2 linked regions of the Drosophila melanogaster genome follow. The gene in region 1 interacts genetically with each later gene. Each region holds a gene or a part of one and is shown on either strand. Other genes may lie near its edges.

What was found.
Region 2: of Arl6IP1 (region 1) and Drp1, changing one suppresses a phenotype caused by changing the other (phenotypic suppression), as found in Drosophila melanogaster (one study listed by BioGRID).

What each region holds. Positions count from the first base shown.
Region 1 is NT_033777.3:16,641,708-16,646,587, reverse strand, and holds Arl6IP1 (ADP-ribosylation factor-like 6 interacting protein 1), read right to left. Parts: upstream 2,984-4,880; 5' UTR 2,704-2,983; coding exon 2,680-2,703; intron 2,571-2,679; coding exon 2,205-2,570; intron 2,041-2,204; coding exon 1,837-2,040; 3' UTR 1,417-1,836; downstream 1-1,416. Other genes in the region: CG10324 (uncharacterized protein), read left to right, coding at 1-568, 642-1,414; nonA-l (nonA-like), read right to left, coding at 4,368-4,880.
Region 2 is NT_033779.5:2,580,323-2,587,307, reverse strand, and holds Drp1 (dynamin related protein 1), read left to right. Parts: upstream 1-1,877; 5' UTR 1,878-2,036; coding exon 2,037-2,138; intron 2,139-2,906; coding exon 2,907-3,051; intron 3,052-3,109; coding exon 3,110-3,774; intron 3,775-3,989; coding exon 3,990-4,441; intron 4,442-4,496; coding exon 4,497-4,842; intron 4,843-4,905; coding exon 4,906-5,134; intron 5,135-5,198; coding exon 5,199-5,410; intron 5,411-5,469; coding exon 5,470-5,526; 3' UTR 5,527-6,027; downstream 6,028-6,985. Other genes in the region: Arpc5 (Actin-related protein 2/3 complex, subunit 5), read right to left, coding at 6,422-6,664, 6,727-6,939.

The DNA of each region.
Region 1 (4,880 bases):
GAGGTCACCGCAGGCGGTCCAACGGAGAGTCTGGAACAGAGAGCAGCTCGGGAATTGATATCTGCCATCCAAAATAACGGTGCCGAAGGCCTAGATGACCAGAAACTTGTCCTGCCCGCCCTAAGCGCAGACGAACTGCCTCTCGATGGTGCCAAGGAGGCAACACTAGATGACTATGACAACATACCGATACAACAATTTGGCCTAGCCATGCTGCGCGGCATGGGCTGGGTTGATCCACCGCCAAAAAAGAAGGGCTCAGGACCCATCGATGATGCCCCCTTTCTGCGACCCAAAGGCATGGGCCTGGGAGCAGATAAGGCGCTCAAACCTAAAGCTCTACTGGTCCAGCCGGAGAAGAACGAGGTACTGGAGATTAAGAAGCAGGCGTACGTGCGCATTCTGGGCGGAAAGCAGAAGGATCAGTATGGCCAAATCCAAGGTTTTGATGACCATGCAGGGCGAGTAATTGTCAAAATGGCAATTGGAGGGGCCAAAGAGGCGTTCAACGAGTTCCTTTGTCAGCCCGTATCCCGCAAGGAGTACTCTCAGTATGGCAAGTGCATAAGTAAGTGGAGCCTGGAAAATGCAAATCCTTTATATTTGTGACATTTTTATATTTCTTTTACATTTACTTTCAGACACTGCCAAATACGAAGAATTCAAAAAAAATGAAAACGAGCATGGCCAGATTATTGTGAAGCAGGAAAATCCGTCAGGAAGAAGGGACAGAGACCGCAGGGAAGAAATTAGATCAGACCGGGATGAAGCTCAAAATCAAAAGAGTTCGAAGCCAGGGGACCAGAGATCTAGTAAAGAAGACTATCGCATGAAATGCAAGGAAGAAGATAAAAGGTCTTACAAATATGAAGACAAAAAAACGTACAAAGACGAACATCGCAGGACGTACAAAGACGAGCGAAAATCGTACAAGGAAGCCAAATCTAACAAAGAGGAGGTGGATCGAGAAAAGAAGTATGTGCGGAGTGGTAGCTCCTCTGTATCTAAACGCGAGGAACGTGAGCGTCGTCGTTCGCCGAGTCCCAGAGGCAGAAGCCCATCTAAGTCGAAGCGGGAAGACCGTGACCAAAAGCGTTCGCAAAGTCCCCGAAGCACCAGAAGAACAAAGAGTAGTTCAGACGAGGCAGACGATACGGGAGAGTCCACCGAGAGCGACTCCGACTCTGCATATGAACGCAGGAAGCACAAGAAGAAATCATCCAGCCACAAGTCAAGAAAACACTCAAAGAAGTCCAAGAACAAGTCGAGAAAGGCGGACAACGACTCCAGCTTAGAGAGCGATGACAGCCTCGGTGAAAACCATCGTCGTCACCACAGCAAGCACAAAAAGAAGACCAAGAGGAGCAAGCATGTCAGGTCCCGCACGCGATCAAGGTCAAGAGACCGTCAGTGATTGATCTATTTAGTTGAAATCTTTATTTAAATATAGTTCATTAGACGCTTAAGTTCCTTTTTTTATCTTACTTGGGATTATCATAAATTTCAATTAACTCACAAAATAATCACAAAAATGCCTTGTCTTTTGTTGCGCGTTTTTTTCTCTCTCCGTACGCCTCGTTTCGAGAATACTTCTGTCTTACATGTTACAAACTTATAGTAGGAGATGTGATGGGGCCAGAACCACGGATTTGCTAGTTTTCCGAGTTTTTTTTTTCTGTATGCGCTGCTCTTATCTTTTAAGATATTTATAGTTTCAAATTCAATGCGCCTAATGTGTGATTTAGTGATGCGATGTGTGCATAATGGCAAGTAGATGACTTAGGCATGTTTTATATTTTTGGTCAAATGGTGATGAGTTTATCTGGTTGCTTTCCTTTACTGCAGCTTCCTTTTGCCGCACTGGATCTTCTCGTTAATAATCTTCGAGGCCCTTTGGGTGATGGCCTTAAAAATGTCCTTGTTCTGTAGTCCTGGCCACATGAGGATGAGTAGGGTGGCCAAGTACATAAGCAGTAGATTGTTAATGATGGCTCCAATCCAGGCCATAGCCAAAAGACCCAAACTCATGACGATTACAAACTGGAATCAAAACGAATAAATGTGAGATGAAATAATAATAGAACCCGAAGTTTTTATTTACACTTGAGCTTGCAGAAGAAGATCTACTGCACATACTAGGCCCTGAAACTGCTTCTCTGTTTTCATATACATATACACACACGGTCTCTACCGCATCTACTCACCACTGTGGACTTCCGCTCGTTGAAGAGGTACTCGTACCAGACCACCAGGCTGCCCTTGACGGCGCACACCTGGCCGCACACGTCCTCGAACTTGGCCTCCTGGTCGCCATCCCAGTTGACTCCGCCAAAGATCAGGCGCGACACCATGGGGAATGCGTAGTTCAGCAAAATGCTAATGACACCGAGCAGCGACAGCAGGGTAATCAGCGACAAGTCCAGGTACCACAGCACCAGGTACAGGCAGCTGATGACGCCAAACACCACTCCGGCGTAGTACTGCTTCTCCCAGGTTAGCACGCCGTACGCTCCCACGATGGCTGTCCGGAAAGGCTCCAAGTCGTGCTTTAATTTGTTAAGTGCTCGTTTCTGGAAAATGCCGGAAAATGAGGAATCATTATGATATTAACTAATGGGGCTTCAATGGCGACGCCGTTTTCCGGCCGGAAAGCTTTCGGCAGTTCCACCCTTCGCTCACCTGGTCAACCTGCGATGCTGCCATGCTGGCTTTTCTTTGTTTCCTAGCGGTGCGCGTTCAATTCCGAGAAATCTATTTGATGCCCAAAGGTGTTGCTTTCGGTTTGAGCGAAAAATCAATTTTCTTGGGTGTTTTTTAAGTCGCCAAAGTCGCAGTGTGACCGTTGATCGACGTTTTGAAATGACTGATTCAGGGGTTGTTTCACTCAAACAGCGATTGCACTTTCAATCGGAACTTATCGAATTTTTCCCTTTACAACTCTGTTTTAAAAGTTTGTATTAAAAATCTTGTATTGATTTGGCTAAAATCTGATGCTAAATTCTAATGCCACCTGACATTTGGGCTTACATTTTTGTTTAAAATCTTGACAGCATCCTATCATAAAATATTGATTTACTATATCATGATTTTTATAAGCAGAACTAAAAGCCCATAAATGGCTTAATAAAATAAATACATAAATCAAAAATTAAATTGCCGTACTATTCAATTCGAAACTACAAAAATGGAAAGCAAAGCATCATTTTGGCTTTTGCTAGTTAATCAAGCAAATCAACAGCGGCTTACTTAGATAATGAACTCAAAGCCACCACATCTTGTATTATATGCAGATAAAATGTTGTAAATATAGATCTTAAATTCTTATATCAATGGCACGGAATAGCTTTAGTTTATTGCTAAAAATTTACTTCAAAAGAAATTTGTACTTAACTATCATGAACTTTAACGAAGCTACAAAAAAATATATATATATACATATATACGTTTGGACAAAATGAAGAGTTTCCATCTGTTTCCATCTCGAGGAAATTCAAATTGATGGTTATACCACGGGTAATTGAACTGAAATCTTTGATTGCTTCGGTACAATACAATTGTGTAATTGTTGGGTGAATGGGAGGAGGGTTCATACAATAGTTCATTCTGTTGATCAAATAAATTCTTTTGTTTAAACAAGTGATTGCATTTTGACCTAATATATGGACAGCGTCGTGGGACTGAAGATACCGGCGGAAATGTGTCCTTTCGGACAGCCTTGCAACTTATTGCCGGATTTCCCAATAGAGCTGATGGCATTTTCCGACTTTTCCGCTTTAACACATTTATTACCAACATAAATTCCCAGTGAAACCTTAGGTTAGAGCCGTTTTTATTAAAAGTAGACAGAGATGGGATGAGAAATACATTGAAATAAAAGCAAGTCCGATTTCGATTATTTACTCATAAATCAAAGTATAATCTACGATTATAAAAATTAGGCTCTTTATCTATATTCGACTCCAAATAATCAGTAATTTCAGTCGCATTCAATATTTAATTTGAATGATAGACAAAAATTAATCGTGTTAGGAGGTAGTCTCTACATATATCTAATGGATGATGGATGGTTATGTTCAGGTGTTTTTCTTCGAAATACTGCACATCTTGTAAGTTGCCATTCGTGTTTGGATTTTGTCATTTTTGTGTTAATATTTCGTGGTGGATTTGTTGTTGAGACCGTTTTTAACAGTTTTTGGTTAATTATATAAATTCAATTTATATTATAATGAGATGAATGCATCTTCGCTTGCATGATCCCATTTGTTATTTATGTTATTGTTCACGCATAGCCGAGCGAAATGTCCGATATTATGCGTAACTAATGAGATCACTATTGTTTTCGTCGCTATCTATATAGGTTTCAGTGTCTAGAAGCGTCGGTGTCCCCATGAATCAATGTGTCCGTGTTGGTTTCCGTCGCTATTATCTGGACCTCCAGGTCCAGCCATTGTTGAATTGTTGCTGTTGTTCCCAAATACTTCAAAAGGGGAATCAAAGTGTTCGAATCCAGAGTTGCTGCCTCCGAATCCCTCCTGCTGATCGAGGATCATGTTGAGTTTCTTGGCCTGCATTAGCAAATCGTTCTCCTGCTGACGGGCTCGCATATCCTCCTCATGGCGAAGTAATTGGTTTTGATAACGATGCATGTATTCCTCTTCCCGCTTTCGAATCTCCTCGGCTTGTTTCTCACGCATCTCCCACTCCAGTTTCATGCGCTCGTTGTCCAGCTCGCGCTTCTTCAGCTCCTGGCGCAGCAGTTCGGTCTCCTGTTCGTAGCGAGCGTACTCCATCTGGGCCTCCAGCTTGTCCTCCTCCATTTTCAACTCACGCTTGAGTGAGTCCTGTTTGCTCTTGAAGAGATCGTGCAATTGCTTCCAGCG
Region 2 (6,985 bases), on another chromosome or scaffold:
CAGAGGCTGCTCCAGCTTCAACTACACCATCATCATCACCATCATCATCATCATCACTCCATAATTAATCGCGCCAAGTCGAAAAGCGGCAAAAGAAAGCCAGAAAGCAGACAATGGCTGAACTTCATTTGAAATTCATATTTTAAGTATTCGTCAGTCAATTAGAGAGCCAAGGACCCTGACACCGAATTTGCATTCAGCCGTGAAATTATCAAATTAATATTCCGGCCCCGAGAAGGGGGCGTGCCCCATCACCATCACCCCCGCCCGTCTTTCGCAATAACTGTCAACTCAAACTCAAGAAGTTTTCCACGCCGCACATTTCGGCAAGTTGTCAAGCCAGAGATACGAAAGTTCCCCGGTCCAACAATGCCAATTTGATGGGGGAAATTTTGAAATATTTATACACACTCAAACACACAGATACAGCAGAGGTGTGCTGGCAAAGTTGCCAGCCAAATTTGTTAATTGGAAGCCGAAAGTTTATCTATGAAAATGCTAAAGAAGCCCACTTGCAGTTCGAAAAATGCCAGAATGTATAATAATGGGGCAAGAAATGAGATTAGTCAGTATCCCAAACTTGAATGATCAAAGTTTCATGGATGGCGTAACTAATTTTGAAGTGGAATGATTAAATTTTGAAACTACTTATAATCGATATTACCATCCTGCGATCGGAACAATAAACTCAAACAATTCGATACTTCAATGGGATTGTAAATAATAAGTCATCTTAAATCATCCCAAGCATATTCAAATCGCTTGGAAGCCATTAAAGAGATAAGCGAGCATTGCAAAATGATATCAGCCAACTTGTAACAATTTTCATTGTCATTTTCAATTGGGAGCAGCCAGGAGGAGCTGGCCAAACAACAATGGGAACTGTTATCAAATAGGACACATGATGCATACGTGAGTGGGGGCTTCTATGCACATGGATGTGGTACATACATATGTACGTCCAATATTCTGGTCCATTTGGGCCAGGCCACTATCGAAATTTGAATGCTTAGTGTACCGGGCGACAAGCATCCTCGAACATTGAAATAAACCGATAAAAACGACAGATGAGCCCGGCATTTCGCCCACAATGCATGCCAGGCAGGCAATCGAGTGTGGTCGAGAAATAGTCGGGTAGCCCCCTTTTTGGTTTTGGGGCACAGCTCACTGCCCTGCAATTCTTATATAAAACCGGGGAAGTCCCCATCCCAACCGCCCATGCAAATCTCGAGCACTTGAGGCCGGTCCCCAGATTATTCCTTTTCCCTATTTTGGGCCACGTGGTCTGACCACTTGGCGGCTGCTCCAACTTTAATATTTCTTCGTTTAAATAGTCCTTTATTTCTGCAGAAATTAGACAAAATCAAAGACAATATATTTATGCTATATATTCATTTTCACTGTTATGTCTGTAAGGGTATTCAGAAATGCGCCTACTCTGTGTAGTTTTTCAATTTAGTTAGATACGATGAATATATTGAGATTCTGCCAGATTTAGATTGTGGTGTGTGAGTTTTCAGATTGGTTTGTAAGGACCCCTTTTGTTTGGTCCATATCAATACAAACTCCTCATGTGCATATAAAATAAGTAAAAAGGCAAAATATGAAACAAAACAAAAAGAAAAGGACATTCATATTTTGTAGCTATTGGGGGATTTTAAGTAATGTTATGAAATCATACCTTTCTTTATTTGTGTAAAGTATTCAATACACGCAACTAACGGGCAAAATTGGAAACACCCAAAAATTCAATTTTGGCGCGCACAGAAAGCTGCCCTTTTGGAATAGATTGGCAGCACTCTCGCGCACGGTGGCAACCTCGTCTAGGGACTGCCGATAGCAGCAAGTTCCGCCCGTGTGGCAACACCGCTAGAAAAACAGTCTAAATTTGCTGTGCAACACTGGCGGTTTGCAAAAATAATTTCGGTGCTCGCGTCAATCAGAAAAAGCCGAAAAGAACGGCCTTTATGTGCGCGAATTAATCGCCAGCCGAGTGGAACGCGACCAAAGGAACCCAGCACACACACACACTCAGAATGGAGGCCCTAATTCCGGTCATAAACAAGCTGCAGGACGTCTTCAACACCGTGGGCTCCGACTCCATCCAATTGCCCCAAATTGTTGTTCTAGGCAGTCAGGTAAATGCAAACTGCGAGGTGCCCAAAAATCCGCACACCGAAAACCATAAATCCCCGAGCTCCGTAAAAGGAGTGGCAACTGAGAACCGGAATATGGCGCAGCTATCTGAAACCCCAACTCTTGCGCTTTTCCAGTGACCGCAAAATTATATAACTGAGTGCGTTTGCCGGCATTTTAGTTGTGTTTTCAGTTTGTAGCAACATTTCAGCCAGCTTTCGCTCTTCGCGGCGTCCCCATTGTTTATATAATTATTTTTGGCACTGCTCGCCGCCGCCATGGAAAATCAATATGCCACAGTATTATACAAAAACGAAAAAAAAAACAGCTGCTGGCTGATGTGACACATTCCCCCACGAACACACTGCAAAAAACAAACGTACACATGTGTGACTTCGATAGTTGTGTCTGTATGTACATATATGTGTGCATGTTTCGATCGCTGGCTTAATTGCACTTTGATTCACGCTCTGGAATTAAGTCAGTATGACTAAATGCTCGCGCAACTCATTGATACCGAGTACAGCGGAGCTCCAATATGTTGAATCTGTGCCATTTCTTACCATTCATTTGGTTTTCTGTTGCAAAGGCTTAAGTTTGAGAAATTTGCAATCACAGAATGGCTCCCATTGCCAGATAAGAATAGTTAATCTGCGGTTTTCCAAGTGTTTCCTCGCTGCAAACGCTTGGGAGCCACCTTATCAGGTCATCGTCTTTTATCAGCCGTCGTTTTAACTCCCAGTAATACATACATTTCCCCTTTTTTCCAGAGCTCCGGCAAGAGTTCGGTGATCGAGAGCGTTGTGGGACGATCCTTTCTGCCCCGTGGAACTGGTATTGTGACCCGTCGCCCACTGGTGCTCCAGCTGATCTACAGCCCACTCGATGATCGCGAGAATCGCTCGGCGGAAAATGGTGAGTTGAGACGTCAGAAGTTCGGGAAAACCCAATTGCTAAACCACATAACACTTAGGTACGTCCAATGCCGAGGAGTGGGGCCGCTTCCTGCACACCAAGAAGTGCTTCACGGACTTTGACGAGATCCGCAAGGAGATCGAAAACGAAACGGAGCGGGCGGCGGGCAGCAACAAGGGCATCTGCCCGGAGCCCATCAACCTGAAGATATTCTCAACGCACGTGGTCAACCTAACGCTGGTGGATCTGCCCGGCATCACCAAGGTCCCGGTGGGCGATCAGCCGGAGGATATCGAGGCGCAGATCAAAGAATTGGTCCTCAAGTACATTGAGAACCCGAACTCCATCATTTTGGCTGTGACGGCCGCCAACACGGACATGGCCACCAGTGAGGCACTCAAGCTGGCCAAGGACGTGGACCCCGATGGCCGGCGCACTCTGGCCGTGGTCACGAAACTGGATCTCATGGATGCCGGCACCGATGCCATCGACATCCTGTGCGGCCGGGTCATTCCCGTCAAGCTGGGCATCATCGGCGTTATGAATCGCTCGCAGAAGGACATCATGGACCAAAAGCACATCGACGATCAGATGAAGGACGAGGCCGCCTTCCTGCAGCGCAAGTATCCCACTCTGGCCACCCGGAACGGCACGCCCTACTTGGCCAAGACCCTCAACCGGCTCCTGATGCACCACATCCGGGACTGCCTGCCAGATCTTAAGGTGAGTCTAGTCTATAAAGACTGCATATCGATTTCACAAACTATGCGAGAATCTCAGGCTAAAACTTCAAGAAAATGTAAAAAAATGAAACAAACTTGGCACTCGATTATAATCGATCTTTATATTTTTCTATGGTAAAGCAAGAGAAGATTAATGGCAGATAAGGTTAGAATAGCATGTTGAATTCAAGAGAATGACTTCCCATATTCTTGCAGACTCGCGTCAACATCATGGCCACGCAATTCCAATCGCTGCTGAACTCCTATGGCGAGGATGTCTCCGACAAGAGCCAGACCCTGCTGCAGATCATCACGAAGTTCTCCAGCGCCTACTGCTGCACAATCGAGGGCACGGCCAGGAATATCGAGACCACGGAACTGTGCGGCGGTGCCCGGATGGGCTACATTTTCCACGAGACCTTCGGCCGCACCCTGGACTCCATTCACCCGCTGGCGGGTCTGAGCAAGATGGACATACTGACAGCCATCCGGAATGCCACTGGTCCACGCCCGGCTTTGTTCGTTCCGGAGGTCTCGTTCGAACTGCTAGTGAAGCGCCAGATTCGCCGCCTGGAGGAACCCTCCTTGCGCTGCGTGGAACTCATTCACGAGGAGATGCAGCGCATTGTTCAGCATTGTGGCAACGAAGTGCAGCAGGAGATGCTGCGGTATGTGAACTCATGATAGCTGAACGCCAAAGGTTTTCATCGATCTCCCCTACAGCTTTCCCAAACTGCACGAGAAGATTGTGGACGTGGTCACCCAGCTGCTGCGTCGACGTCTGCCGCACACCAACGTGATGGTGGAGAACATTGTGGCCATCGAGCTGGCCTACATCAACACCAAGCACCCCGACTTCCACAAGGATGCCGCTTTGGTGCCCAGTCTGCTGAAAACGGACAGCGATCCCTACTCACAGATAAATCTGGGGCAGCGGCGGGCCAATACACCGCGAAACCACATGTCGCCTCAGATTTCGTCGCACAGTGCTGGTTCACAGCAGCCGCAGCAGCAACAGCCGCCGCAGCCGAATTCCTCACAGCAGCAATATAGCCAAGTGCATGAGCAGGTGCCAGCGGAATCTTCATTTATGTATGCAACCTATTTAACCCATTTTCGTTTCGCTCTCTAGAACCACGTCGCCGAGAACTCGACGCCTTCGATGGCCAGCACATGGCTGTCAAACATTTTACCGCCGGCACCAACGCGTCCGGACAGCATTGAGAACTCGACCAACAACACTCCGGTTCACAATAACATCGTGAGTCCAGTGAAGCCGGTCAATCTGCTGCCCGATGTGCCGGCCAACCACAATCCACGTCGCCTCACTGACAAGGAGCAGAAGGATTGCGATGTCATCGGTGGGTTGCACTTAACTCGGGCCACTTAAAGACCTAACTCAATCTGACTACTTTTTGTTTTTAGAACACCTGATCAAATCGTATTTCTACATTGTGCGCAAATCCATACAAGACTCGGTTCCAAAGGCCATCATGCATTTCTTGGTTAACTACGTTAAGGACAACTTGCAGAGCGAATTGGTTACACATCTGTATAAGTCGGATAAGGCTGAAACCCTGCTCAACGAGTCCGATCACATTGCAGTGCGCCGAAAAGAGGCGGCAGATATGCTGAAGGTGCGCTTGGCTAGCTTATACTTAGCTTGACATCGTTTTAAACTTACTTTTGATTTCAGGCACTGACGCGAGCGAATCACATCATCAGCGAAATCCGCGAGACCCACATGTGGTAGGCTGGTCAGCGATTGGAGCAACCCGTTTCGACTTAATAATCCCCGCATATAAGCAACATAAAAACTATTTATTGAAGACGCGTTCAAAGAGAACGAACTCCTTTGTTAAATGTTCCCCCTACCGAGCACTGAAATATCATCAAATTGCATGCGACCCCCAAATTCTGGGCCTTTCATTTAGCCAACTCGCATTTCTATTCGCCTGGCATTTGTCTATCATCGAGCCTCTCCGCTTTTTAAATTAATAAGAAGTTGTAGACGCCGTGATTGGTTTGATTAGGTTACTCAAAGCACTTATTACACATTGAATAGTCAAATAAAGCAGAAAAGGTTGATTCAAACATAGTAGATGTGTTTTCTGTCACGGCAGCTAAAAGTTTACGAAGGCAACGTCATCATGTTGAATGATACACCTGGAATTTCGATTAGATAAGCCATTATGTTCGTAAAGTTGCTAGGCTCAGTCTGAAGATTAATAAGTGTTTAAATCTGATAGGAGTTGAATCTTCCTGAGTTTTGAGATGCGTAGCAATTGCTTAGCCTTACTAAAAACAAAATTTTTCTTACAAATTATGTTACATGTAGGTGTGGCTTGAGTGAACTAGAAGTACGTTCGTTCCCCTGATTGAAATCACTGCCACTCACCTTTCGTAATAAAAACTTTAATACTTGGATACCAGTTAAAATCTAATTTGGAAAACGTCATTTGTATTGCGGCGAAGAAACAGAAGTGGGTTCCAGCTGGGGCGTGGCAAATCCCGAAGATAAGGATGTGGTGTCCAGTGCTCCAATCCTGTGTTGATTAAATGCTCCGCGATGCGTATGAATCGGTTTATGGGGCAGGGAACAGTTGGGGTAGTGACTCTATGACCGCCTTTGGCTGTGCTGATCTCCTCTAGGCGCGATTTGTGTCGGACAGCACGCGGACAATGCAGCCCACTCCTCCCTTGGCGAAGGCCTTCTCATGCCACTGCAGCAGGTGGCCACTGGAGCCCTCCGAGGGGATCTCGAATCCCCGATATATGTACTTCATCAGCACGTCTATTAGGTCGTTCTGGTCCAAGGTGTCGATGGCCTGGTCCATTTGCGTCGACTTGATGGACAGCAGCACCCGCAGCGTGATGTTCAGGGCGTGGTCCTGCAATGCAAGGAAGGATTAGCTTTATAGGGTTCTCGATACGAATAGGTGTGGCTACCCACCTTCACATTCTGGTTCTTGCAGCGCAGCGGGGCATTCTGCAGCGCACTCAGGAGCGCCTCCACGGATTTTCCCTGCGTCAGCAGCGTCGTAATCTCGCTCTCATCCGGACCGGCTGCCGCGCTCTCCACCCCATCATCCTCCCGGAAGTTGTCCTCATTGTACTGGTCCACATCGATCTTGCGGAACGCGTTGCTGGACGTGTTTTTGGCCATGTTTTCGCTAAATTCCCACCACTTTTCTCTACAAAAATATGAATCA